Rhinolophus ferrumequinum: one gene and its partners. The protein of the gene in region 2 binds, or shares a complex with, the protein of the main gene of each other region. Links are inferred from orthologs where the notes say so. Each region holds a gene or a part of one and is shown on either strand. Other genes may lie near its edges. The genes, in order: TAF10, TAF7, TAF3 and TAF5.

What was found.
Region 1: TAF7 (region 2) and TAF10 share a complex: the UniProt entries of both Homo sapiens proteins name them as parts of the TFIID basal transcription factor complex. The link is inferred for Rhinolophus ferrumequinum from reciprocal best matches to the Homo sapiens genes TAF7 and TAF10.
Region 3: TAF7 (region 2) and TAF3 share a complex: the UniProt entries of both Homo sapiens proteins name them as parts of the TFIID basal transcription factor complex. The link is inferred for Rhinolophus ferrumequinum from reciprocal best matches to the Homo sapiens genes TAF7 and TAF3.
Region 4: TAF7 (region 2) and TAF5 share a complex: the UniProt entries of both Homo sapiens proteins name them as parts of the TFIID basal transcription factor complex. The link is inferred for Rhinolophus ferrumequinum from reciprocal best matches to the Homo sapiens genes TAF7 and TAF5.

The regions. Positions count from the first base shown.
Region 1 is NC_046294.1:45,221,444-45,227,625, forward strand, and holds TAF10 (transcription initiation factor TFIID subunit 10), read left to right. Parts: upstream 1-4,261; 5' UTR 4,262-4,284; coding exon 4,285-4,516; intron 4,517-4,656; coding exon 4,657-4,811; intron 4,812-5,059; coding exon 5,060-5,124; intron 5,125-5,212; coding exon 5,213-5,327; intron 5,328-5,505; coding exon 5,506-5,595; 3' UTR 5,596-5,672; downstream 5,673-6,182. Other genes in the region: TPP1 (tripeptidyl-peptidase 1), read left to right, coding at 950-1,070, 1,166-1,324, 1,490-1,615, 1,742-1,882; ILK (integrin-linked protein kinase), read right to left, coding at 5,905-6,054. UniProt on the Homo sapiens protein: The TFIID basal transcription factor complex plays a major role in the initiation of RNA polymerase II (Pol II)-dependent transcription.
Region 2 is NC_046307.1:15,636,517-15,643,613, forward strand, and holds TAF7 (transcription initiation factor TFIID subunit 7), read right to left. Parts: upstream 3,007-7,097; 5' UTR 2,365-3,006; coding exon 1,315-2,364; 3' UTR 435-1,314; downstream 1-434. UniProt on the Homo sapiens protein: The TFIID basal transcription factor complex plays a major role in the initiation of RNA polymerase II (Pol II)-dependent transcription.
Region 3 is NW_022680355.1:13,386,721-13,394,470, reverse strand, and holds the start of TAF3 (transcription initiation factor TFIID subunit 3), read right to left. Parts: upstream 3,006-7,750; 5' UTR 2,803-3,005; coding exon 2,637-2,802; intron 1-2,636. UniProt on the Homo sapiens protein: The TFIID basal transcription factor complex plays a major role in the initiation of RNA polymerase II (Pol II)-dependent transcription.
Region 4 is NC_046299.1:21,905,912-21,913,905, forward strand, and holds the start of TAF5 (transcription initiation factor TFIID subunit 5), read right to left. Parts: upstream 3,010-7,994; 5' UTR 2,672-3,009; coding exon 2,113-2,671; intron 126-2,112; coding exon 1-125. UniProt on the Homo sapiens protein: The TFIID basal transcription factor complex plays a major role in the initiation of RNA polymerase II (Pol II)-dependent transcription.

The DNA of each region.
Region 1 (6,182 bases), on a different chromosome or scaffold from region 2:
CCCCAGGCATTCTGGTGGAAGATTTGGTGGGTGTTCTGTAGGGAAAATGTGCAGTCACCTCAGGCCACCCTTGAGGGCTCAAAACCTTTTACTCATCCCCATGTGCATGCTTCCCCACAGATTCCAGACCCTCCCGCAAGACCCAAGCCAGACTCACCCATCTCTACATGTCGCATCCAGCACAACACGGGCAGTGAGGGTGTGAGAAGGGGCGGCTTTGGGTTAAGTTTTTAAGAAAGAAACAAACAGAGACTTAATGCAGTTTAAATCTCAGAAGGCCAGGGGTCTCACAGTTCTGAAAGACTGGAGCCCAGATATGAGCCGACTGGAGGTTTTTATTGATAAGTATACAAGGGAGTAGCAGTGTTTTTGGCACAGTCTGTGAGACTCACTTATCACGTTATAGAAACAACCCAAACCAATTATGTTGATCTTCAAACAGCCGAAGCAGAAAGTCCTTGAGGTGAGGTATGCAACTCCTTTAAGGGACATATATCACATGGTGAAATTGTTTCACAGAGCTGAGCAGAGAGAGCTTAATCTTATCACTCTCAAGACTTTTCTCCCAATTAGGTGAGAGGGAAAAGTCAGAGTCAGCAGCGGCTTTTCCCAGGCAGGGGGGAGTGGGGCAAGTCCCCTTCCCAGATCTTTCTAAAGCAGCTCATTGGGGTCTCCATGGGGTTCCGCCTAGCTTGAGTTGTCCCCCCCGCCCCGTGGGGAATCTTACTCGTCATTGGCTGCAAACCCTCTTTTGGAGACTAGATAGAGAGACATGAGCTATAAAACATTGAGATAAATAACGTCCCAAAAAGGCACAGTCTCACAGACTTTTCTTTCCATAAGGAAAGACATGGGGGGACAGTCTGCTAGGCTGCTGTGTGACAACATCTACACATTTTGGAAGTCCCCTTGGGGCCCCTATAATCTGAGTGCTGTTTTCTGCCCTCAGCCCCTATGTCACCACAGTGGGAGGCACATCCTTCCAGAATCCTTTTCGAGTCACAAGTGAGATTGTTGACTATATCAGTGGTGGTGGCTTCAGCAATGTGTTCCCACGCCCTTCATACCAGGTACGTGTAGTGTAGGTTTGTGTGGATAGATGGAGGTGAGGAAGGGTGGGAATCCTCAGTTCAGGAGACAGTACTCACTCAACAATGCCTTTCAGGAGGAAGCTGTAACCCAGTTCCTGAGATCCAGCCCCCACATGCCACCATCCAGTTACTTCAATGCCAGTGGCCGTGCCTACCCAGATGTAGCTGCACTCTCTGATGGCTACTGGGTGGTCAGCAACCGTGTGCCCATTCCATGGGTGTCTGGCACCTCGGTGAGAATCAGCCTGGCTCCCAACCTTTAGGAACTACCTTCAGCCTCTACCCCTAAGTCCTTGCACCCAGAAGCCCTAACTCCTCAGGGACCTCTGATCCTTTCAAATATCCTTCCCCAAAAGTGCAGTCATTCTGAACCCCTAACTTCTACTTGCACCTTGCAGGCCTCTACTCCAGTGTTTGGAGGGCTTCTGTCCCTGATAAATGAACACAGAATCCTCAGTGGCCGCCCCCCTCTTGGCTTTCTCAACCCAAGGCTCTACCAGCAGCATGGGGCAGGACTTTTTGATGTGAGTGTGGAAGGGATGGGTGTGGACATTTTCATAAGAGCATAGGATGGGACTATTGGGTGCGGGGGTGTAGTCTGTTAGTACTGGTACCAGCAGGCCCAGATCTGATGCTCACCCTCTCCCTAGGTCATCCGTGGCTGCCATGAGTCCTGTCTGAATGAAGAGGTGCAGGGTCAGGGTTTCTGTTCTGGCCCTGGCTGGGATCCTGTGACAGGCTGGGGAACACCCAACTTCCCAGCTCTGCTGAAGACATTAATCAACCCCTGACCCTTTCCTGTCGGGAGAGTGGGCCTGTCTCCTGCCCCACAGCTTGTGGCTTGTTTCCTTATTCTGCACTATTGGAAATCCTGCTGAACCCTCACCTGTTGACTGCTGAGAGCTTATCCCCCTAACCTTGAAGTGCTATGAGCATGACTTGACTCCCAACCCTAACCCTGTTCCATCATACTCAGGTCTCCCTACTCCCGCCTCAGGTTTCTCAATAGATGCTATCACCAGTGCTGTTTGAATGCATCCCTCAACACTGCCCACCCCCGCACCATGTCTTCTTTCTCTGCAACCAGGCTTTTCCAAAGTGTTGTCTACACTGTCTGTGCACTCATGAATTTTACTTCATGTTCACTCCTCAATTCATTGCACTGAGACTTCTGCTCTCACTTTTGTACTTTCCTCCCCTGACATTGAAAAACAATGGCCTCCCTGCTGCTTCCTCCAGTGCACACTTCCCAATCTTTGCTTTATGGCCTTCTTTCATAGTTGCCCACTCCCTCTCCTTCCGTAGCTTCCAGGGTTTAACTTCTTTTCTGACCACCCCCTTCGTCCTCTTTTTCTGCTTCCTCATTGAATATTGGTGTACTTCATTTCTCCATCCTCAGTCTTTTGCTCTTCTCACTCTACCTATTGCCCCTGGAACAAATCCGTCATGATTGGCATCCACAGCCATCATCATCTCACTACGTCAGACTTTCTGTCCAACAGTGATTGATACTTCAAAAGGAAGATATGTGATACTTGACACTTATCTCTCTCCCAATCTCAATCTGTTCTCTTCTTTTTGGTAAATGATACTATGCTTCTTCCAACCAAACCAGAGACCTGGGTGTCATTCTAGACTCCTATTTCCTTCATCGCCCACCACCACCACCACCTTCAATTAACAAGTCCTACTGACTTGCCTCTTAAACACATCTTTATGCACAGGTCTGCCGGTTATATTTCTTATGTACATGTAGAACTCATTTACTTATCTTTATCTCCACTACTACATTAGCTTAGAGCCGTATTCTTTCTCCTCTGAATTTTAAGGCCCTTGCAAAAAAATTACCTTATTTCCTGCCCTTCCCTAAACCATCTTCCAGAATAAAATGAAAATCTCATCAGGTCATTTATTTAAGATCCTTCAAAGATTACCCGGTAAAGTTCAGGCTTTTTGTCATGACTCACAAACCTTATTTCTTCCTTGCTATTTGTTCCTGAGTAACAAATTGTTTATCCTCCCCTGCTTTCCTCCCATATACATTCTTTCACTTGTGCTCAAGATATTCTGTGCCCTTAACACTACCCCTAACTCCTCTTTGCTTGGTTGATTTCCAGGATTCTTTCCAGACTCAGCTCAGAATCCATTATATTCCCTTGTGAACCTTTTGGCTCCCTACTGGTTGCTTTTGGTATAGCACAAAAATCCTAGATTTTTGAAACCAAACGTTTGATTCTTGTTTCTGATACAGACTAGGGGAGAGCCTTAGGGGCCAGTAAGTTGATCTCCCTGAGCCTTTTCCTCACTTGTTAAGTGGGGATATCGATACCTGCCTCTCATAATTATCAGTGAATAATTAAATGGAATAATGGTGATAAGAGTGCCTGACACACAGAAGTAGGCAGCAGGTGTTAGTTCCCTTTGTCCCTTGCACTGCACACTTTGTCTACCTCTAGTATTGTAACTCCTACATAGTATTGAAATTGCCAGTTGACCTGTTTGCCTCCCTTTCCAAGACAGTTGGTGCCTAGAGGACTAGAGTCTTGTTTTACTTAAACTTTGCATTCGCAGGCCCTAGCTCAGGTTTGGCAAATAGGAATTAAATAAATGTTTGCTACATTGAAAACCTCACTCTTTCCCTCGCTGTGATTTTTGCATATGTGTTTTTACTCAGGCTGAAACACCTCCCTCCGCATCTACAGCAGCACTGGGCGCGCTCCTGCAGACTGCACTTCTCCGGGCAGCTGGCGGGGAGCGGGGCGCTTTCCACCTCCACTACGAACCTTTAAAAGGCTGAATAAGGGAACTGGAAAGCATGCAGGCTGGCAGATGGTCCAACCCTGTCGGACCAATGAGCCAAAAGAGAGGTCTTTAGGTGGCAGGCTGAAAGAGGGTCCCTGATCCGCAGAAGAGTCCTCGACATTCCAGGATTCCCAGCCCTGCAGAACCACCGACGAGTACGGAGCGGTGGGAGGTGGAACGTCCGCGGCCAGCGCGGTTCTCCAAGGTTTGGTCTCCGCCCCTCGGTCTGTGTCATCTAGCGGGCATACAGGCAACCAGGAGGAGAGAAGCCTAGGGGAGAGAGCGGTCATGGCGTGGGAGGGGCAAGCGCGAGGAGTGACGTCACTCGGGTGTGTGCGTAACGTGAGCGGAAGCGGAAGCGGTTCTGTTCGCCGCCTCTCCCACCGGCTAGATGAGCTGCAGCGGCTCCGGCGCGGACCCCGAGGCGGCGCCAGCCTCCGCCGCCTCGGCCCCGGGCCCTGCACCCGCGGTCTCGGCCCCCGCCGTGCTGCCCGCCGGCACCGCTGCGGAGAATAAGGCCAGCCCCGCGGGGACAGCAGGAGGGCCTGGGGCTGGAGCCGCGGCAGGGGGCACGGGACCCGTGGCAGCGCGGGCCGGGGAGCCGGCCGACCGGCGCGGGGCGGGTGAGGGCCGGGACGGGTGAGGGTGAGGGCAACGTGTTTCTCGGGGCTCCTCGGCGGGGGAGGGCAGAGGGTATAAGGCAGACCTAGCTGAGGCCCTGCGCCTTCCACCTCCGTGTCTCAGTTTGCTGGTTCTCCTCCAGCTGCGGTGTCGGCAGGCGGCGCGGCGCCCCCGGAGGGGGCCATGTCTAACGGGGTTTATGTGTTGCCGAGTGCGGCCAACGGAGACGTGAAGCCGGTGGTGTCCAGCACGCCTCTGGTGGACTTCCTGATGCAGCTGGAGGATTACACGCCTACGGTGGGCTTCCTGCCAGAACAAGGCTATTGGCCCGCTGTCACGCCAATTTTCCTCCACACCACCTGGATTTCCAGTGTCGTCTTCTTGTGTTTCCCTCCCATACTTGCTCTTGTGACTTATCCCCTCTGCCCACCCAAACTGTAAGCTTCCTGCGAGTGTCAGGCCTGTCCTCCATTTCCCTCACCTTTTCACTCTCAGCCTGGCAGTGCATAGGGCTTACACTAATAGCTGTCTAATTGATCTCTCAGATTCCAGATGCAGTGACTGGTTACTACCTGAACCGCGCTGGCTTTGAGGCCTCGGACCCTCGCATGTGAGTAAATTCTGGGCAAGTTCGAGAGTTGGGTGCTTGTGTGGATTTGCTGTCCATTTCCTTAGGTTTTTTTTTTCTCTCTCTCTAGAATTCGGCTCATCTCCCTAGCTGCCCAAAAATTCATCTCAGATATTGCCAATGATGCACTACAGCACTGCAAAATGAAGGGCACAGCCTCGGGCAGCTCCCGAAGCAAGAGCAAGGTGTGAGGGGAGGCTCATTGAATCAGTAATTACCTCCCAGCAGCGGAGGCTTAATTTATCCTGAAACCCCTTTCGGGAAACAGCCCTAGGGGAGGTGAAAGACCTATTCAGGGTCACCCACCTGGGATTGAAATCTGGGATTCCTGTGTTTAGCTGGTGCTCTTCCCTCTTCCCTCAGGACCGCAAGTACACTCTAACCATGGAGGACTTGACCCCTGCCCTCAGCGAGTATGGCATCAATGTGAAGAAACCACACTACTTCACCTGAGCCATCCAATCTAAATGTACTTGTCTGTCCTCTTGTCCCCACACCAGCCTGTTTTCATAATAAACTTTATTGTGACAGGCAGGGCTGATCCCTCCCATGCTGGGAGACACCATGTGGCAAGTGACAAAGCTGAGCCCAGCCCCTTTTGGGGCCACAGCGGTAGGGATGGGCACAGGGGACGGGCCCCATGGCTGGGGTAGTACCATGACTGGAGGCAGGGGAGGCAACCAGAGGCCCACAGCTTTGGGGAAACATAGTCCCCTAACAGTGTCCCCACACCTCTGGAGTTTAGGCAAGGACTTTCCAGTCCTACTTGTCCTGCATCTTCTCCAGGATGGGCACAATCATGTCAAACTTGGGCCGCTTAGCAGGGTCTTCATTCATGCAGATCTTCATGAGCTTACACACATGGGGGGAAATGCCTGGTGGGATGGTTGGCCGAAGGCCTTCCAGTGCCACCTGTAAATGTAGGGAAAAACAAGGTGGGTCTCAGCACTCCAATCTCATGTAGAGAGATCTCTAGCTCTCAGGACAGGATTACTATATATTTGAACAAATGTGGGAAAATTCCAGCCCCACTACAGTTA
Region 2 (7,097 bases):
TGACTACACTTGAGAGGTCTGGAAAATTTAACATTTCACCACTCATGTTTCTTGTCAAATACCTAATTAAAATGGGCTTTAAATGTTTGCTCCATGAGGTTAATTTTCAAACCAAAGATTTTCTTTATAAACCAATCTCAGAAATGAATTGCACCAAACTCTGCATTTTGTAAATTTTATCACTGATTCTTCCAAAATAGCTCAAGTAAGGCATTATATTAGAATCTTTAGAGTATGTAAATATGAAAATTATGTTTAAGAAATATTGAAATAAGAAATTATAATACTGACCTTTATAAACAATTTTGATGAACTGACACGGACAAATCATCTCAGTTCTCAGAGTACTAAATAATTACAGTAATTAAGTTGAAAATATTTAAAAATATAATCTTAATCCAAACCAATGGAATGATTCTTTGAAAAGTACCTGAAAGCTTTGCTCTGTTTTGTTTCTAGTTATTTCAAGCAGGTGAGTACAGTGCTTTAAAAAAAAAACACAAAACATTAAATAAGACCTTCATGTACAAAAGTTAGGGTTGTTTAGGAAGGTTCTGTACCTAGTGTTTATTAACCCTCCAAACACAGCAGGTGGATTAGAAACTTAACATAATGCAGCTATTTCACAATTTGTTTGCTCTTGCTGTATTCATCTTTTTCTTAAAACCCAACATAACTGCTTTTTTCCCTACCAAACAGGTCAAATTGTTCAGTAATTAAACTGTACCAAGAAACCACCTCACAAGAGGATCTGATGCCCACAATCCCTAAAACAGCAAGACTCATTATGAGGTGAAAACTAGTTTCTATTTATTGTGTTAAAACAATTTTATGAAATGATTTACAACTCTACATGTATAAAATTGAATAACTAGGAAAATAACTACTGCATGGGAAAACATTATGCGAACTAACTTAACTGCCTTTAGACTACTCTTCTTAGTGATCTTAGATGGCATCACAAACTAGCAAAACCAGTTGCTGGCAAATGGAGAAACAGCAGCAAAGTCCTGCAGTGAAGTTTTGATTACAAAGTTTGAACTGTTCATTCCACTAATCCTACAACTTTCCTACAATTATGTATCTTTCTATACATTCCTACTTCCTACATGATAAACACCTAACAAAGTGGTTCTGAGAGACAAATGAGATAGAAATTCACATTTCTAGTCGTTTAAGACAAATTCAATAAAAGGCAGCAGAAAAAAACAGAAATTACCATATAGTTCTATCATCTAGTCCAAGTAATGAAACCAAAATTTTTCTTCTAATGCTGACCACTTTAAGGAATGAATTTAAGTATCAAAGCTCTTTTCACTTCTCTAGGAGTGATTCTAGCTCTTCTTGCAGAGAGCTAAGCTGCTCCTTTTCTCGGTCTTCCTTTTGTTTGAGTTCATCCAGCACAGCCTGAAATCTGTTCTTGAGAGCCAGGTTTTCCACTTTCATTATGAGATCTTCCTGTCGTTTTGCCCTGTCCTGGGTCTCTTGGAGCTTGCCTTTCATGTTATCAATCTGTTTCTGAATTCCCATAACCAGCTGATTGGTTCCCTCATTTTCTTGGTGCTGTTCATCTGAAGCACTTAGCTTGTCCCGTAGCTGTCTTTCCAGATCTTCCTCAGTGTCAATTATGTTTATATCTTCTTCATCTTGATGCTGCGTCTCATCTTCATCTTCACTGCTGCTGCTGAGGTCATTGAATATCTCCCGAAGCTCATCATGTTCTAATGAGTCATGGCCCTGCCTATGGCCTGACATTCCTGGCGAAGAGATATCAAGGCCTTGATTTTCTGTTTCTTTTGTTTCATCCTCAGCAATTATTTCCCAACGAGTACTGACAGCTTCGGCATCTGTACTAAGCAACCGCTTCACTTCTTTTTCCACATCTGGAGATTCAATATACTTCTTCTTTGCTGTCTTCCGGAACCTTCTCTTCCTGACATTTTTTAGAGGTAGAGTGATTCCATGGTTCCATATAAACTTTTTCTCTTTGTCCTTATCTTTTTTTTTGCTTGCTTTGGGATCAGCAGCAGCAACTGGTTCCTCCACTGGAGGATAGAGATCACCATCAACTGTGGATACAAGCATCTGACAAATATCAGCTGTCTTGTAAAAGGTTTTTTTATCAATGGTTTTCAAACTTTCCATAACACATGGCAGATCTACCAATTTTGAGGCCAGTGGGACCCGGTCCACTCTGACGATTCCATGACGCCCATCAGGGTGTAACTCAATTGTCAGTCTGTCCTTCAGGTTGACATGGCCAGACTGTACTGCCCGCCTCACAGTAGATGCATATTCCGGAGGCAGACGTAAGATAAACTGGCTCTCTAATTCGTGAGGAGCATCATCTTTGCTCTTACTCATGTTTCTTTGTGACTCACTTCTCAAATGAACACTTGTCGCACTAAAACGTTCCAACTATATCAAGTTAGAAAGACCAGTTTGTTATGAATTGAAAAATTCAATTACAAAGAGTTCTAAGAAGAACAGCAGCTTAGAGTCTACTGGTTTTTTTTTAATTAAGCACCAAGTCTTTTTAAATATGCTGTGACTGAATACCAGTTGTTACTGGCACTGGATTATTCAGTTAAGTCCTTTTGAATAAATTAGCTGCAATGCCAAGTTCCAACCACTAGATGGCGCTGCCGGACAATACAGAGCAAGCAAGCAGAAAAGCAAATGGCGGCTTCTGCGGAATGATTTTCGGCACAGAAAGTAAAGGCCCAGAAGACACTCCCAATTCACAAACTCTCCCCGAACAAAGATAGTCAAAAAGCGGGGTGCAGTGAGCTCTCTTCGCCTCGGATACTTACAGTCCAGTAACAATTATAAACCGAGGTTCTCCGGACAGGAGCGAGCGAAAGAGAAAGCCACTGGGAGAATGGCGGCCGGGGGCCTAAAGTCTCCTTCCTGACTCCTTTGTTTCTCCCGGCTCTTGGCAAGCGATCCGCTGCTGATTATCAATGAAATGACCCAGAACGGGCAGCGCGAAATCTCACCGAGATCCGTAGCTCTGAGCGCCAGACTCCGCAACTCAGCAACTCGGCAGCTCCGCAACTCGGCAGCTCCGCCTACAGCTCCTCAGCTCCCGGGACCGTCAGGGGAAGCAGACCTAGCGGAGAAGGAAGTAGTACGTCACGGCGCGGGGCGGGAGACGGCTGTGAGTGACAGCACGACTCGAGCGGAAATGCGGTCTGCCCCAGCACGCGCAGGCGCAACGCGCAATTGCGATATCAGGTGTCCGTCTGCTCGCGAGAACTTGGTTTTAGGCGATGGGAATAATTTTCCTTAAAGAGCTATTGCTTTGAAAATATTTAGAGACACCGGTTCCAAGAAAGACCTAGATTTTCCCGCACCCACCTCCCCGCCCCGCCGCTAAGCCAGAACTTTTACCGGATCGCCCTGGGGCCGGATAGCTCCTAGGCTTCCCGGTGATCGTCGGGTATAGGGCGTCTGTGCGGAAAGAGTCTTTGCTTCAGGAAACACCTCCGATGCTCCCCAGGGTATATCCAATTTCGAGTGAATACAAGAATTTATAACTAACCATGCAGTGGATTTGAAAGTATCCAAATCAGTGGAGTGAGGAGGACATGCTGCCCACTATATAATTCTAAGTCTATATTTTGTTGGTTATGAAAATGCTTGGAGTGGACTCATGCCTCAGGGTCAGTTTCTGTTGTGAAGGACCCCAAGGGAATAAGGGTGATTCCTCGTTTTAATAGTATGTTTGACGTAGATATAAATGTAAACAGAGAAGTAAGTGTTCTTCAAGAGGCATATGTTCATTTAGGACAGAGTCGTCTAATAGACAAATGGTCTGATTGCGGTAGAATATAATTGAAGTATTACTCCCTGCCACTCGCTTGTAAATTTTAAATTAGTTAGGAATTGTTTTCATTCCACTCTGCTATTTTGATAACTGTTTTGTGCTTGTCTCCTCTATTTATGTAGGCAGATATTTATCAGCACGTATCTATAGTATTTAAGCCTAACTACCGGTGTTAATATATATAACAGCTTCCACTGATTCCTGCTCATTTCCATTTATTTTTTAATGGAATCGTCCTGGTAGAGCATCAAGGTCATTAAAATTTTAATTTCTATCCTCTATTACCAACTGCATCTAAATTTAAGAGAACTCTTATTAAAATGTGATTAACATTTCTAAAAGTTCACTTCATTTCTTTATGTATTGTCTCCCTCACTCCCTCAGACTGGAAGCTCTCTGATCATCAGGAGTCTTCTATCTTGTTCATCATGTCCCGGTGCCTAGTATCAAAACATGGGGGATATACAAAAAAATATTTGCTAATTGAATGAACCAATTGATCCATCTAAAAGGAGCATAAATATAGTCTATAATAATCTGTGAGATAAAATACATTCTATGTCACCTTAAAATGAGATAAAGCCACTTCATATACATTTCCTCTCGTCAAGGACGGTGCCAATTGTTATGAGCAGAGAGCTTTGCTAATAGTGTGTCCTCTTTGGTTTAATTAGACTGTGTATCTTGGGAGGAAATTAAAATTAAAATGGCCTGGCACCAGTTTTTTTAATGTTAAGTTTGAAGTTGAAATTATGCTTTTTCAGATAACTACATTAGTTCTCTTTGTTCCAAAATGTGTTGAAGAAAGTTGGCTGATATATCATCTATAATTTCCAGGATGATCTATTTCCCCCTTTTCAAAGGTGAAATTCTTTATTGTGCTTAATTATACTGATGGTCCCTTAATTATACCTGATTTTACTTATTTTATAGATAGAAGAGTTTAACATGCTAGCTTCTGCATAGTGCTTTATTTGACTATATAAAATGTGATTCTATGCTTATACATGAAAATAATCCAAATGTTGCTTTGCACTTTAATTGCCTATAGTTTTATGATGCTCAAATATCCTGTCACAGAAAGTAACCTGAGATAACAGATGCAATTCTGATTTGCCAAAATATGATGTATTTTATTTAGTAAACCTTTAAATGGAAGATGGTCAGAGATAATTAAAAGGATTAAAGTTTCCCCTAAAGTATGTACCTCCTTATCCTGAAATATATTTTCTGCTTTGGAGTTTAACACATTTTCTAAATGCGGGATTTGTATGAGGGAAAATTACAGTGATCCTAAAGCTAAGGTCTCTGTCACATTACAATTACCTTAATGTCTGTTGATAATCCAGTTGTTCTCTTTTTAAAATCAATAGACATACATAAACACTCTGAATTGATGACAGAATTACACTTCTGTGGTTGTTCCTTGGAATATCTGTGATACTAGTGAACTAAAGATTTGGGGAGAGCAATAAATTCCCCACATGGTAATGACCTCCAAACGCTTCCTGCCTATGATAAAGGAGTATCAAAACCAGGATAATGCTGTAAAATTATTGGTGGTGGGAAAAGCCCTGCTTATATTTTGGAGATAGAAAATTATAAGGGAGAAGAAATAGCATATGCCCCCCAAAAGTACTCTTACATACTGCTATATTGGTGTATAAACAGTTAAAAGCAGGTTAACTAAAATCTAGTTAATATAGTTAAAATATAGCATCAAGTATGATACTTTCCATAGAAAAGACACCATCATAATTTACATTGGTTTAAATAAGAAGAAAAATCTAGTATCTCAAAAACCAGGTAGTCTAGTGTAGCTCTGTCCAATAGAAATATAATATGAACCTCAGATGAAAGCCATATATGGTATATTAGTAGCCACATTAAAATGGCAAAAAGATGCAAGTGAAATTAATTTCAATACCATTTTATTTAACTTAATCATCAAAAATAACATTTCAACATATCAAGGTAGAAATTATTAATGATATATTTTACATTCTTATTTTGTACTAATCTTCAAATCTGGTGTGTATTTTGCACACACAGCACATCTCAGTTTGGACTAGCCACATTTCAAGTGCTCAGTGGCTGCATGTGGCTGGTGGTTACTGTATTGGACAGTGCAGTTCTAGAAGTATGGCTGCTTCTAGGTATGATAGAATCATGGCCTGGCACAAATTGTTTTTTTCTTCCTAATTTTAGAGAATGAGCATTTATTTATACTTTTTCTATTATTTTTCAGTTTTGTCCTCATCTCCTTGTAAACTTCCAAAATCTGTGGTGACAAGAAACCTGCCAGCATAGCTGGGGAACTTCCATCCTTGTCCATGGTAAGTTCAGAGAGTGGTTCCCCCAAACCAAAATCTGTCTTTTGATCTGATTGGACTAACTTAGGTCACATACCTATCCCTGGATCCATAATAGTTACCATTTTTATTTTCAAAATTGTGGCAAAGGGGTGATATTGGTAATGTCTGGTGACATTTTTTATTGTTAGAACTGTGGGGGTGGGGTCTTCTGGCATGTAGTGGATGGAGGCAAGGGATGTTGCTAAATATCCTACAATTACACAGAACACCTATTCTCCCCACCCACACAAAGAGTTATCTGCTCAAAGTAGTATCAAGGTTGAGAAACCCTGCCTTAAGCTTATTATTTTAAGCCTATATTCCCAACTAAACATTGACAAGTGGAAGGAGATTACCATTATTGGTTTAGATCTCTGAGAACATGTTACAGCTATGAATAGATTCAGCTCTGCCTTAGGTACCCAGAGGGTGGGCCCCTAAACTAAAAAGGAAGTGTTAGAAGAAAGGAAAGGGCATGGGTAACTGTCATAGTCCATTTGGGCTGCTGTTACAGAATACCATAAACTGGGTGGCTTGTAAACAACAGAATTTATTTCTCAATTCTGTAGTCTGAGATGTCCAAGATAAAGGCACTAGCAGATTTGTTGTCTGGTAAGGGCAGGCTTCCATGTTCATAGACAACAGTCTTTTCACTGTAACCTTACATAGTGGAAGGGGTGAGGGAGCTCCCAGCAGCCTCTTTTACAAGGGCATTAATGCTATTCATGAGGACTCAACCCTCATGACCTAATCAACTCCCCAAAAACTTTACTTCCAAATACCAGCACTTTGGGAATTAGGTTTCAACATATGAATTCTGGGGAGACACAAATAAATATTCAGTCTATAAAGGCAACCAATAGTATCCATGAAAGAACTAATTATTTGGGGGAATAGGATAGTATATATGTAAT
Region 3 (7,750 bases), on a different chromosome or scaffold from region 2:
TTGCATTTACTGCCTAGACCACGCAATAATTAAGTTATAGTACCAGTCTTGAGGTGTCATTCTGAAAGATTTACACCTGCTTCCAGCTCACGTACTCATATTTTATACATATTACAACATATACAGAAACATCTGCCCCCGAATGCTTTGACAAATTGTTACCTTAGGCAAATTTAAAATTGCATTATTTGTTGAATGAATAGTAACTTCTGATGCTTGCTTTAACTTGGGAGCTTTTGAAAAAGGGACAGATACCATCAGTTTGGTTTTGTTGACATTGTGACACCCATATACAAACCTTCTGGGCAGGGATTGTGCCTAAGTAATTTTATGTTTCCAACACCTAGCACAGTGTTTAGTTCCTAAGTGGTACCCAAAAAATATCTACTAAAAAGACAGAAACCAGTAAGCAAATATGTAACTCAGAATCAAATATATTATATATTCAAGACCTAGTTATCAGAAACAGGATTTAAAGGAATAGAATACAAGATTGCATAGTAGCAATTTGAAGTTATAGGATTCGAAGTTAAAACAAGGATAGTAAAGAAAAAAGAATCTAAAAAGTCTGTAACTAATAAGTATACCAGGAATTAGCATATTTTTAAAAAGTCACCAAATCACGATGGAGAATAATGGACCTGAGAATTACATTCTCACTAAGAGGAACAAAATCAACTACAGAAATTGGGTCATTAGGAAAGGGGTTCGCATTAACTCACAACAGTGACCACTTGATGACTTGGGCACACTTGGAGTGTACATCCTGGCTCTGCGTACAACGCAGGAAAGGTAACTATTTATTCAGGGCTATTCTGATCACCTAAACGTACAGAACATCCATCCTTAGGGAACTTGGTAGCAAAAATATAATCCGGATGATGCATAACCGTAACAGTAACCTCAAAAGATCATGAAGGAGGACAGTGGGGACAGCAGAGGGTGGGGGTAGAAGCAAAAGCCAAGCGAGTCCTATCGTGTGCTGTTGGTGTACTTTCAGGATAACCAAGAATGAGAGTTCCTGGGCAGTTCAAATTTAGCTTAGAAGTATCAGTGAAATCAAGCATTCAAAAAATACATACTTTTAAAACTCAAAAAGTGAAGTGAGTAAATAGTTATCATGGTAGTGGGTTATTAGTTCATTCATTTAGTCAACAAATATTTCCTGGGTGCCTAATATATTACGGCACCATACTAGCTTACAGAATATAAATATAATAAATTTGTCTCCTGGGGAAGAAATAGGAGAGCGTGACAGATATACACAGATGACTACAAACCAAGGTGTTAAATAACATACTATGCACAGACTTACAAGAGCAGATAACATGAGTTTCCTGAAACAAGTGATAAAGTGAATCTCAAAATATAAGAAGTACTATTGGTGGACCAGGGGGTGAAGGACAGTAAGAAACACCATGTACATAGGAATGGACAGCTTAAAATGCTTGGGAAAAGATAGGCAGCTCAGCATGGTTGCAGATTAGGATGGCAGGATGGTAGAAGATAAGAAAAATGCTAGCTCACAAAAGGAACTGTGCTGTTTCAGAGTTTAGATTTTCTGCCTGCATTCAACTAAAGTATTTTTAAGAACCACACGATCAGATTTGTGGTATGGACAGATTATTTCGGCAGCACTGTGGAAACTACAATGGAAATTGGGGCCTAAGAAGTAAAGTGTATCCATAGGTCTCAATTTTTAAGTTTAGGAATCACTTGAACAAAACAAAATATCCAATGAAACACTTCACCCATTTCTCCACTTTACCACCTTAAAAATAACGACCTGAAATTTAAATAAAGGGTAGTTTCCCTTCCACACATATGCATCACATCAATGACATGATGTGTGGCTTCTATTAAATATTCCAAATTATTAAATGCCATCACCTATAGACACTACCAGGTGTTCACTTAAAAACCGTAAGTACTATATCCCAGATTACCTGGGGAAACTTGTAAATTGCCTATAATCCCTCTACCACACTTTGATAATCACTGACATAAAAATATAAAGGAGGAAATCAATGGGTGGCTGAGATGTAAGTGAAAGTTAATCTAAGTGAAACTGACAAAGTTGGCCTTAGCAAAGAGTTAAGTAGAGAACTGTCTATGAAATGAACAGATGCAGAATGAAGAGGTAGTGTCCGTAACGGAGCAGAGCTGTCAACGAGTAAGTGTTGTTATGAGCTGAAGAATGGCCAGCTTTGTAAGAAACGGCCGGTAGACGGAGCGCCTGTGACAACTAGTTGTAGTAGTTTGCGGGAAAGGAAGGAAAAGGACCAAAGTAAAAGAGGCTGTAAGGCACTCTGGAGGTGGTTCACAAAATGAGACCATGAGAAAGACCGATGCACATTTCAGATCAGAGAAGGGTGAGAGGGTATGGAGCTGGGAGCGGAGACAGGGCTCCCGGCTGGAGGCGGGAAGTTAGCGGACAAGGAAGAGGCACCAAAGGGATGACTAGAGTTTCCAGGGGCAGTGGAAGCGGATGGGCATCAGGGGCCGAGAAGATACCCGATCTCGGGGTAGGGGTGGAAGACAAACACCTCGCAGACGCTGGGATAGCGAAGGGGAGACCGGAGGTGTCACTCGTGACTGTCCAGAGGCAGCCCTCCCGCACCCAGCCCGGTACTCACAGAGCTCAGAGTACCGATGGCAGCCCCGTCCCAGTTGCTGCAGATAGCGCTGCAGCACGTCCGTCAGGAGATGGCAGGCGCTGAGTTGCACCGAGTCCCAGCCCAGCGCCTGGCAGATCTGCGCCACCGAGACCCTCAACAACGACCTGGAGTAACTCTCGCACATCCCGCTCCGTGGACTCCACCGCAGCACTTGCTGCCACTTCTCTCCACCCCCACCGCCTAACCTTAGCAGAGCCCCCGATTCATCCTCTAGGGCCCCCGTGGCGGGGAAATCGTCTCCCCCCGACCCCTGGCGACCACCTCAAAGGCTCAGCAGCACGGAGCGCGCCAGCCTGAGAGCCGCCATTTTGGACTCGCTCCGCCTCCCGCTGGACGGTCGCCGGGGCGAGGCAGCAGTAGCCGAATACTGAGCGCGCCGATGAGGAAGCTCCGCCCCGTTGAGGCAGAGCGATGGTGTCGGTATCAACTCTCGCGCCTGGAAGGACGCAGGAAAAGGCTGCGCAGAGTGCAGGTGGAGGAGGCAGCCGAAGAGGCAGGTGCTTGGGACCTTCCGGGGTGGGGGTGGGGGTGCGGTTACTTGGAGAGGAAGGGAGAGAGGACCGTCAGTGATATAGGGGCAGAAGAGGGAACCGGGACATGAAATTAAAATGCAGGTGTTAGAAGTTGGGAACCCTAAAGACTGTGAGTGCGGGAGCGGGATTTGGGGCCTGGGAACCTAAGTGCTACCCCAAACGCGGATCTGATCCGGTCTTATCTCTACTCAAAAAAAAAAAAAAAGGAAAAGAAAATTGAGCTGCCTACCATTGTATAGATCAGATCAAGTTCAAGCTGTTCAGCGTGCTATTCAGAGCCCTTCAGACAGGACGGGGACTAGGGTGAGGCGAGTGAGGCCCTGGACTCGGTGCCGAATTTATGGGGCATCAGAAAACTTAATCAAGATCAACAATATTTTAATACACTATATATATTTGAAAAGTACGAACGGCTGCTAAAAAAAAAAAATTCCTGCCTCACTCACCTCATTATAATGCCCTGGTTACAGCAAACCTTTATTTACAAAAACAGGCTGCAGTTTGCCGATTTGGCCTCCGCCAGCCACTGTGTCAAAGGGAAAAAGGACTCAGTTGCTTACAGAGGCCAAACAAATACCTTAAATCAGCGAAGCTGGCTAAGGCTATAAGGGACACTTGCCTTCTCTAGAGCCTTTTTGCAGTTCCAGCCTAGTGTTGCCAGGTCTTTCCAATTTGCTAGAAATCGGGATTTTGTGATAAATACCTCGATTTTTAAATATTGGGAATACATTTTTAGTTTTAATTTGCAAACTAATCCCATGGGTAAGGCAGATTCAGCCAGGTTGCAATGGCTCATTTACTCTGTTTCTTAAATATGCCTCTGTGTGCGTGTGTCTTTCCTACAAGCTTCTGGAGTGTAGCTTTCTAACTTCATCACTCTCCTCTGTATCCGTCTGTCAGTTTCTCTAGTCTTATACTATCACAGTGCATTTAGTATTTGAGTTTCTGTGCCTCTCCAAATAAATTGTGAGCATTATAACCTCCCTATGACTACTCCAGAACCTTGAACATACATGATATTCAATTTTTTAAAAGTCTTAAAAACCCGAGGTGGCCGGTTAGCTCTGTTCGTTAGAGTATGGTGCTGGTTGCACCAAGGTTGCTGGTTCGATCCCTTTATGGGCCACTGTTAGCTATGCCCTTCTTAAAAAAAATAAAGTTTTAAAAACCCAGTAGAAAAATATGGTACTTCAGCTAAATGACCATCTGTAGAGAAAGGAGCAAGGTGCTAGGTGGCAGGGTACCTATAACATTTTCTTCACTAACCCTTCTGACCCTAAGATTATTAGGGACCTTTTGGATGCTAAATCTGTGGGCCACTTCCTTCCTAGCCTTACTTGACCATTTTGTAGCCATTTGATAATATTGAACACTACCTTAATTTTGAAACTCTTCTACCTTGGGTCTCATACACCCCCACTGTCTTGCTGTTTCTTCAGTACTTCTGGAAGTTTCTTTTACATCTCTATATCAGAGCGTCTTGATTTATGATGTGTGTGTTTTAACCCCTTAATATCATATTTTGGAAAATTTCAAACCCACAGAAAAGCTGAAACAGAAAAATATAAACAGGTATACACTTCACCTACATTCACCAATTATTAACATTTTGCCATATTTACTACACACACACACACACACACACACACACACACACACACACACACCCCTACCTTTTTTTTCCAGAATAGTTTGAAAATAATTGCAAACTTCATGACATGTAACCCAGAAATACTTCAGCATGTATCTCCCCCAAACAAGGACATTTCTCTACATAATTATATCTCACAGGTTCAGTTCCCCAGGAAGCCATTTCTGAGCTGGAGATCAACCCACAGGTGGTTTATTAAGGAGGGCTCCTGGGATCATCACCTGTGCAAAGGAAGGGGCTTGCAATGCGCTTTGAAGGAGGCGTCAGCCAATCCCATAGGGAGCTCTGAAGATGGGCTGACCCTTCAGATTTGTCCTGAGATGGCACAAGGGGGCTGGACCTTTATATTCCTGAGTTGGTTAGGTCCTTGTGTGAGGCCTTCCCTGAAAACGGTATGTGACCTTAGGCAAAAGTGCTCTCTGCAGCAGAGGCAACTCCAGGGGAGGCGGGAGTCCTTCAGTCCTGAGGGGATCTGAGCACTGCATTACAATGTTCAGTCCAGTCCTAGTCTGATCAGGCTGCCGGAACAAAAGACCACAGACTGGGTCACTCACCAACCAAACGTTTTTCTCCCAGTTCTGGAGACGCGAGCTCAGGGTGCCAGCATGGGCAGGTGAGGGCTCTCTGCTGCATCCTCCTTAGGGAGCTCTGTGGGATCTCTTTTATAAGAGCATTAGTGCCATTCAAGAGGGTTCCACCGTCATGACCTAATCATTACCCCCAAAGGCACCACCTTCTAACTCCATCACATTGCAGTAAGGGTTCCAACATGTGAATTTGGGGGGGGACAGGACACAGACATTTAAACCACTCAACTAGGGTCCACTCCTTGTACCCTCAGATCCACTTCTTGGTACGAGTTTGAGGAACAGCTCAAGGTCGAGGGACCACCGACATTAGGCGAGAGAGTACCACGAGGCGCCCAACTAGATCACTTGGGTACCAAACATTCCTCCTTGTCCCCATTGTGTGACAGCAGCCTGACTTCCCGAAGATCAGGGTCGATTACTCTGCATGCTAGCTCCTGGCCTAAGTGTTCAGGTGGCAACTGTAGCTGATATTTCAGTGGGACTCCTTGTGTCCCCTGGTGGAAAAATTCCTCCTTTGGGAAATAAAAACTATCAACCTGGGGAAGCCAGCGTTGCAGAGACAAGACGAAGTTTCCCAGGCGGGTCCCTGGGAGTGATGGTAAGTGATGGAACTCCAGCTTTCACCGTGTGTCATCTACCCAGCACCACAGACAGGTCATTGACTTAAAGTGTATGTGGCATCCTGGGGACCACACCCCATCCTCACTAGGCATTGTCCGTGAGCTAGTGCCATTCCATTGCTCAAAGGCCATTCCATTGCTCTGCCAGGCTGCCCGCTTGAGTGGTATGGTAGGTGACATGACCAGATTTCACAACCATGTGCCCACTCCCAACCTTTGTTGTCAAATGGTTCCCTAGGTCTGACACAGCTTGATGTGGAACACCCAGTACGTATACTGAGTAGAAAAGGCAAATCTGTACCTAGAATATGTGCCTATTCTTATCAAAACAAATGGATGCCGTTTCTAGGATGCCCAGGGCCACGGTGGTCAACGTGCCAAGTAGCTGGTCAGTTTTCTTGGAGTGTAGTTGGCTCAGGCTGCCATAGCAACATGACAGACTGGGGGGCTAAAACAACGGGTTTATATTTTCTCAGCTCTGGAGGCTGGAAGGTCGAGGTCAGGGTGTTGGCGGATCCATTTCCGGGGTCCTCTCTTTTTGGCTTGAAGCCATTTTGATTTCTGAACCTTGTGACGTTTTTCTCTGACAGCATTTAGGTCTTTACCTCCATTGCTCTGAAATGTCACGATGATCTTGAATGAGCATTCTTGGACAAGTCTTTGCACACTTGTATGAGTACTTCTTTAGACTATTAGAAGTGGAATTGATGATAAACTATGTACATTTTAAGTTTAATAGCACTGCCAAATCACTCTCGAGGATTGTAAACTTGTACTAACAGCATGAGATCAATTCCCCCTACTCTCTAAAACTGTCTTTAACAATCTGATGGGTGAAAAGACAAGTTGACCACTCATTTATTCCCCATTTTTAAAATTGACTTATTTTTCACTGAAATGAGTTCTGTGCAGTGTCATAAACCCTTTTGTCATGTTTTGCAATTTAAACTTAGGGAACTTTGTGCAACTGCTGTTGGATAAGATTGCGCTACCAATTTTCCTACTTTCTTCAATACCGTCTGATCATATGAAGGAAAGGAGTACTCAGCGTGGGGAAATGGTAGTATTAGAATTTTTGTACTTCTACTAGTTCCTTATAGACGCATCACCAAGTCAAGTCTCGAGACACAAATTGCTTCAACAACCACATATAGAGAAGGTAGTTTTATATGCAGAGACCAGGGGTTGAGTATAGACTGGAGAGAACTGGGTTAGAATCCCAGGTCAGTCTTATCAGCCGTGACCTCGGGCAAGTTCCATAATCTTTGTCTGGTCATCAGTGGAGATTAAAACAGTACTTAGGTTATAGGGTTGCGGTGAATATTGAGTCAGTATTTGCAAAGTATGTCTTATGTGACATGGGTGAATGCTCTGATTAAATGTTGCCTGACCTATGTAAAAGTGATCGTCAGTTCAATACAGAAACTATTTATGCTCTTTTAGGTGTTGGCACTCGTCAACTTGGAAGATACAATAATTAAAACATTTCTGCTAGGATCTTACAGTCTTGTGCAAAGACAAGCAAATAATGACAAAATGTGATAAGGGTTGTAATTGGTGAGCACTCAAGAGGGACACTCAGCCAGCCGTTTGGAAGGAGCTGAGGGGACTGAGAAGGCCGACCTGCCTGGAGAAGTGGTATCTAAACATGTCCTCAAGAACCAATGACCAACAGAAG
Region 4 (7,994 bases), on a different chromosome or scaffold from region 2:
GGAACATTCAATGAAGTGTTTCAGTCCACTATAGTATTCTTCATACATTGTGGGGTCTCCTTGTTGGTTGTAAGCTGACAGCACAGCACTGACATCTGGCTGGTCTTCCACAGCTACACTCCCAACTGTTTAAAAAATGAAAAACAACTTTCAAGAAAATGACCTGAGATGCACCAAGTGACTACGGCTGTTTTGCTAAGGTCCACAGGTGAATTGTTTCTCAAATGTTTGTCCCTCTCCTCTCAAACTTTCTTCCCCAACACAATCACATAATCTTTTAATAGCATTTTCACTTTGTTTCAGTGACCCATCCAAAACTCCTTCATCTTGTCCATATCTTAAAATAAAATTTTCAAATCAATAACAAGAGATTCATTTATTTTTTTCTGGAGCTACCTTATTTTAAAGACAAATTGTACAAAACATGGATGAGCAAATCAAACAACTATGTCCATCTCCTCTCAAGGGTCAATGCAAACGGCACCCACCACCACCATCAAGCCATGCCCTGAAACAACATTTCCAGTTCTCTGAGCTACCTAAGTACTTTGTAACTTTACTGTAACCTCCTATCCTATATCACCTTCATTTATGTACATCTCTCATTCCTTATAAAATGTAAGCATTTTAAGGGTGGGAAGTTTGTGCCTTATTTATATTTCCAAAAGATATGCTTAAAACAATTTCCAGAACCACCATTTCAAGTCAGAAAATACGAGTATTTATTTGTAATATAGCAATATTACAATGCTATATGTATCAATCGAATCAGGGTTTTATTGTTGGAATTTTTAAGTTGCAATTAAAGTACTGTTATGTTCCTTACTGCACAAATGATATAAATTCTTTCGATTACTCTGATGGCATTTTCTTTCCATCCTTACTGGTTTCTCAGATATGATCTAAAATATAGGTCAGGTTTCTGAACAGATTATAACAAAATGACTAACATATATACTTCACCCATGTTTTAGTTCATTCACAAAATTCAGCATTCAGGGAAAGATTCCTCTCAATCATTTTTACACACTTCTATGTATGGGTTACAACGCTATGTATTTATTCTTCACTTCTGGCAATGCTGCAAAGATTAGGTCTCATAAATACAGATTAGCTAGAGGCTCTGTACTGGATAATTTAATTCAACAAACATTCATTATTGGCTCAGGATCACCTTTGAGACCTTATATTGTGTATAAATTTTAATGCACAGACTTTGTGACAACAGTTGCTAGGAAAAGGGGATCAGGGGGTGCTCAGGTGTCAGGAATGGACACCTAGGCATAAACTTTTCAATACCAGTCATTTTACATATATTATATCTAAGTCTCACAATAACCCATTTAATCGAGGAAAAAAACTCAATTTTGGAAGAATAACTTAATCAGCATCAACCACGTAAAAGCAACAGAGACACAATCTGAACCCAGGTCTGTCCAATGCTTATTCCTAAACAAATGGTTCTCAAACTTGGGCATACATCAATACCCCTCGGAAGCATTTACTCAAAAATGCAGATCCCCAGGCTCAGCTTCTAAAAGCTCTGATTCACTAAGTCTGAAATGATGCCCAGGAATCTGCATTCCCCCCAAAGCGTCAACACTCGTGGTAGTTAGCCCACATTCTGAGACATACTGGCTACACTACGTTCCATCACTCCGTGGCTGTGTGGTCCAAAGCAAGTCCTTTGGCCTTTCTCAGTCTGTTTTCTCATCTCTAAAATAGTGGAATTGTGAGAATTAAGATATAGAACCTAAAATATTTGTACAGAACTGTACAAATATTGTTAGTGCTAATGTAGACCTGTCCAAAGCTCAAGAACCCAAATAAGCGAAAAGGGACCGAAACACTAAGGGTCCGCGCCTCTCCGCGCCCACCTTCCGCATACATCCTTCTGCTCAACAGCTCTCAGCCTCTCGCTGGAACTGACAGCTCTAGGAATAGGGTTTGACTGCGCAGCCGGCGCACTAGAGAAAGGGGCGGGCATGTGGTCCTAGAGGCGGGCCCAGGAAATTCAAAACAAGCCCGCAGAGGTGCAGGCCTGCCAGCCTCGGCATTCCCGGCTTGCTCCCCTTCGTCCCGGCCCTGTCTTCCCGGGACCTCGCGGCTCACCTTTCCCCGGAGCCACAGGACCTGTTGCTGAGCCCGAGACGGCGGCAGCTCCCGAAGCGCCGGTTCCCGGAGGGTCTGGGGCGGCAGGACCGGGAGCCGAGGCTGTGACCCGGCTAAGAAGCGCGCTAGCCGCCTCTGTGCCGGCGCCGTCCCCATCTCCCGGGGCTCCGGTGCCCGCCACTGCCTCCTCCAGCAGCCGGGCCTCCCGGCGCAGAGCTTCTTCGGCCTCGCGGAGGTTGCTCTGCCGTAGGAACTGCAGCACGGCCAGCAGAGTCTGTCGGTCGTGGGAAGCGCCCGCCTCCGGAGCAGTGGCGGGCACCGGGGCCGCCCCCGCCGGGGCAACGGCGGAGACAGCCACCGAGGGTTTGGGGGTCCCACCATCCCGGCCGGCCGACGACGACGCCGCAACGTTCCCACCGCCGCTGTTGGGGCCGTTGTTGGTCGTGCTGCCGCCACCCTCGCCAGCGCCGTCCCCAGCCTGCGGAGGTAGCAGCGTCGGCGGTCCCTCGGGCTCTAACTTGACCGCCACCTCCGTCTGCTCCTCCGCCAGCGCCGCCATCTTGCGGCTGAGCCACCTCGCGCCGTCAAGTGCGATTGCGTTTTCGCCACATGGAGGGCGGGGATGAGCATTTCACGACAGCTCCGGAAGGCGATTTACGGCAGTGGGAGGGGCGAGAAGAAGGAGAAAAAGAACACGAGCGAGAGCAACTTTCAAAAGTGAGTGACAGAAAGCAGGAAATTGGAGATGGCGACCGCCTATTGCATTTGCCTGAAAATAATTACCACTTATTGCAAACCAACTGCTATATTCAGGCACTGTGATAGACGTTTTACATTATATGACTTTTAATTCAACAATTTTATAAGGTACTGTTGTCCTCACTTTACAGGTGGCTCAACGGAGACCCAAAGAGGTTAAATAACTTGCCAAGTCACTCAACAAGAAAGTGAACGTTTCAAGATTTGAATCCAGGTCTTTAACTCAAAAGCATATACCATTTGCCAAAGGGAGGCTTCTGAGATACTGGTAATGTTTTGTATTTTGATCTAAATGGTGGTAACTTTCTTTGTTGTTCCAATTTTTACTTTTGTAAAAATTAATCGAGCTGCGTGCTTAAGCTTTGTGAACTTAACAGCATATATGCTATATTTCAATAAAAAGTTTCTAAATATCTGAATTTTGTGATTGTGAAATGTGTACATTCTGTATTCATACTGTGTTATCCATTATTACAAATTGTAAAATTTCTGCATTTTAATTGTGTATTTTAAAATAGTATATGCCATTTTGCAGTATGCTTCATAGATTATAAAAACCCTGCTGCATATTTTATCTCACTTGAATCTCACAACTCTGTGGGATAGGTGAAGACAAGAAAAGTGAGCCTGGGACATGGGGAAGATCTAGCACTTATTCAGGTTATTAGTTTTGAGGTCTTACTAGCTTTCTTTGATCCTGATTACTAGCTGAATGACCTGAAGCAAGTTACTTAACTCACTCTATCCCAGTTGCCCAATTTCTAAAATAGGGATAATAATAGTACTTAACCTCAAAAAGTTGTATGCGGATTAAATGATATAATGTACATACGATACCTAATACGTAATAAATAGCTACTGGTTGTTCTTACTTAACCTTAAAAGGTGTTCTGTAAATGTTTGTTATGAAAGTCCAATCATGATATCCAAGGTAATCTCATGACTAAAATATAAAACTAATCTAATTGGATAGCTAAAGTAAGATGAAATATGGGTGAGAGTTGGGGAAAGATGAGCAAGAACTGATTAGCATTTACTTAGCACTGACAGAACCTGAATCTGATGGTACATGCTTATGACCTGGGAAGAATTCATCCTTTTCCTCAGGATCATTCAATTATTTTTTTCTGATTCAGTATTCAGTAGTTGATAATTGGTAATTAACTGAGCACTTAGTAGATAGATAAGAGATACCATGAATAACAAGCCCAGGTTTGTTTACTATTCCCTGGAAAGATGTTTTACCCCATTATGAATAGTATATTAATATTCTGATGCATACATTAGTCTCTCAAATCAGGTCCTGGGAACTGGATCCACCTGTACAACTGAAGCCCTGATACTGGACTCACAAAAGTACAGCCACTCGCTTTCCCTCTGTGGGAGCCACCTATTACTGGCTTTTTCTCTTTCCAAAAAATCTGGGTTGGGACTTCAGCAGAGGTAATTTACTCTAAGTACAGTGGTTTTTCCTGTTACACCTCAATAGAGGTAAATTTATTGAATGCCTATAAGGTCCACTATTAATTTTTGATTCTCTCTTCCCCTTCTTTTATGATCTTTCCCATTCTCCTCCTACTTTCTTTTTGGGATGCTTTAAGAGGTCCAGTGTCGATCTGTATCTCGTTACTTCATAGGAGAGCTGCTTTTTCTGGGTGTTTCTCTTTGATGTTCTTTCATTTCACACTAATGGATCCAAGATTAGACTTTTTTTCTGTCTATCCTGATTTGCCTCTTATGTACCCCTTCAATCTGAGATTTTTTTTTTCAGTGCTAGGCATTTAGTAAGCATTATATCTACAAATATTTCCTCCCTCCATTTTCCCCTTCTTCTTGGATTCTTAGGATGTAGATACTATAGTTATATACTCTAGGTCTGTTAACTTCAGTATTTTCATGTTTACCTTTCCCAGATCCCTCCTAGAAGAGTTCCTCAACCTGATTTTTCAGCGCAGTAATTGATTCTTGGCCTACATCCATACTACTACTCAACCCATTTATTGAGTTATTTACTTCAAACATTATATTTTTCATAGTATGTTAAACTAGTTCATGATTTATTGCTTCAAGTAACCCAGTTGGGTGATTTTGTCCCCCCACATATCCTGGGGGGACATTTGGCAATGTCTGGATACACTTTTGGTTGTCACAACTCAGGGTTGTGCTACTGGCATCTAGAGGGTAGAAGCTAGGGGTGCTGCTAAACTTCCCACAATGCACAAGACAGCCCCAGCCCCACCACAACAAAGAATTTTCTGTCTCAAAATGTCAATAATGCTAAGGGTGAAAAACCCTGATGTATACAATATGAACTCATTTTTTTTCCTTTGAGGATATGTATTGTTTAAATTAACTTTCCATCTGATGCATTTAACCTGTTACATTTACTTTAGGTTGTTCAGTTTTTCTTACTTTAATGGGAGTTGCACTTTTTTCTATATCTCATTACTTTTCTTCATTAATTTGTATTTCCCTGGAGGTATCATGTACCTTGGCTGATACATTTACCCAGAGGGAGAAGGTGAGGGATGCCCCAAAAGGGGGAAAGCCTGTGGTATCACTATCTGGGCTTCATCATTACCTGTTTGCCAGCGCGCACACGCACGCACACACACACACACACACACACACACACACCACCCCTCTCCCCGCCCTCAGGGTTTTCAAAGTTTTTACCAATCTATTAATTTCTGTGTCATCTCTCGGGTTGGGTGTGATGGAGGAACCAGCCACCAGTGAGAGTTTACCATGTTGTTTAGTTTCTGAATTTAAACTCACACTGGTAGCTTGATTTTAGTTTAATTAATTTTAAATTGACCTGCAGTTGGAAATCCCGAGACTAGAGTAATTATTATTAACGAAGTATAGTTGGAGGAGGACATGTGAATAAATGCATAAAATATATAGGTTTTGGAGACACAGGACTTCATATTTAAATTTGGGAGACAAGGGCAGAGTTTATTGTGAGAATAATTTCTCGGTATTTGGCGACGGTGACTGAAAGGATGACTGAGAATAACCTGGTTAGGGAAGAAAACTATGAATTTGGTTTTTGACATGTTGAATTTGAGGTCCCTAGAGGTCATGCAAGTTTTGCTGGCCATAGGCAGAAGCATTTTATGGGTTAAAATGCTTCTAAGCATTTTAAGGAGAAAAATCGGGGCCAGAGACATTGATTTGGAAATCAGCATATAGATGGTAATTGAAGTCATGTGAGTGAATAAGATTACCCAAGATATTGCATAGAGCAAGAAATGAAGAAGTTCTAGAATAGAATTCTGAGGAACATCCATATTTAAAGGCTAATCCAGGGACCACTTTGCTCACATGTTCTTGAAATTACCTTTTCTCCTGAATCTTGGGACCCAAACTTTTCCTTGTTTTCCTTCTACCTCTGGCCACTCCTCGACTCTTCTATTGCCACTACTTCCTCCTCTACTTCATTTTTATTATTCTTTCCAGGTTTAATTTATTTAAAAAAAATTTTTAATCGACAATTTCAGATTTACAAGAAAGTTGCAAGAAAGTACAAAGAATTCCCAGATACCCATCATCCACATTCCCCAAACGATACATTTACTACATATGCTTTATCCTTCTCTGGCTCTCCGTCTCTGCCTCTCTGTAGATAGATAGATAGATAAATAGATAGATACACTGATATAGAGATCTCTATGTAGATACAGATATAGAGTTCAGACTTAGTTCAACTCAACTTACTCTTAGTAGTTCAGAAAAAAATGTATATGCACGTGTTTTTTCTGCATTACTAAGAGTAGTTATTTACAGGCATGATGTCCCTTTACCACTAAATACTTCAGTATGCATTTTCTCAAAATGACATTTTCTTACATAACCAAAGGACAATTACCTAAATCAATAAATAAACATTGATACAATACTCTTGTCTCAATAATTGTCTACAGACCTTACTCAGATTTTTCTGTCTCAACAATATCCTTTATAGCAAAGAAAAATCCAAGATTATTCATTGCATGCAGTTGTCGTATCTCAATAGTCTAATTTGAATCCTCCCTTTTTTGTATTTTTTTAATGTTTCCCCACCCCTCTTTTTTTTGTATTTTATAACATATATTTTTGAAGAGTACAGGCCAGTTAATTTATAGAGAATGTTCTTCAATTTGAATTTGTCTCATGTTTCCTCATGGATTGATTCAGGTTCAATCTGTCTCATCTTTGGCAGGAATAGTACAGAAGTGATGCTGAGTTCTCAGTGCGTCGTATCAGGAAGCATGTGGCTGTGGATTACTCCCATTGCTATCAATGTAAACTTTGATAATTTGCTTAAAGTGGTGAATGCCAGATAGTTTGAAACTATGTAAATATCCTATTACCTCTCAAACTTTAGCTCACCAGTTTTAACATCCATTGATGATTCTTGGCCTGTATCAATTATTCATATGATGGTTAACAAATAGTGATTTTCTAATTCCATTATTCCTTCTACATTTATGAGTTGGCTTTCTAATTTAAGGAGGAGCTTTCCCTTCTCTCCATTTATTTAGTTATATCAGCATGGACTGAATATATTCAATAAATTACCATCTGTTACTGTCCTAATTTTTATTTTGATGTACAATTTGTCCCAGATTTAACTAGTAGGAGCTCCTTCAAACTGGCTGCTGTGTTCTTTTGACATGACACTTTATTCTCTGAGTACTTCCTTACTTTCTAGCACAATAAGAGGTTATAGTCCCTCTTATTTTTTTCCTGCTGCAAACCTGGAATCAGCCATTCCTCCATGGAAACTGGGTTTCTTTTAGTGCATTAGAAGCCAAGGACAGGGTGCTAGGTGTGTCATTTCTTCTAGGCCCTCTCAGTGGACAAAGCTGAGAAATACACGTATTTATGTATGTTTACTTACACACATGTATATACATTTACCTATATACATTTACCTGAGGTCACCTTGGATATCTCCAATTCCAATCCAACAAAGCAGAGTTTATCCTTTCCTGTCTCTTTTCCATAGTTCTAACACTCTTTTCCAATAGTGATAAATCTGGCTTTTATAATGTATTTACTTATTTGCTCAATCTTAGAATGTACAGAAAGTAGCTTCAGAATTGCTAACCCATGTCTCTGAGAAAAAGAAGTCTACT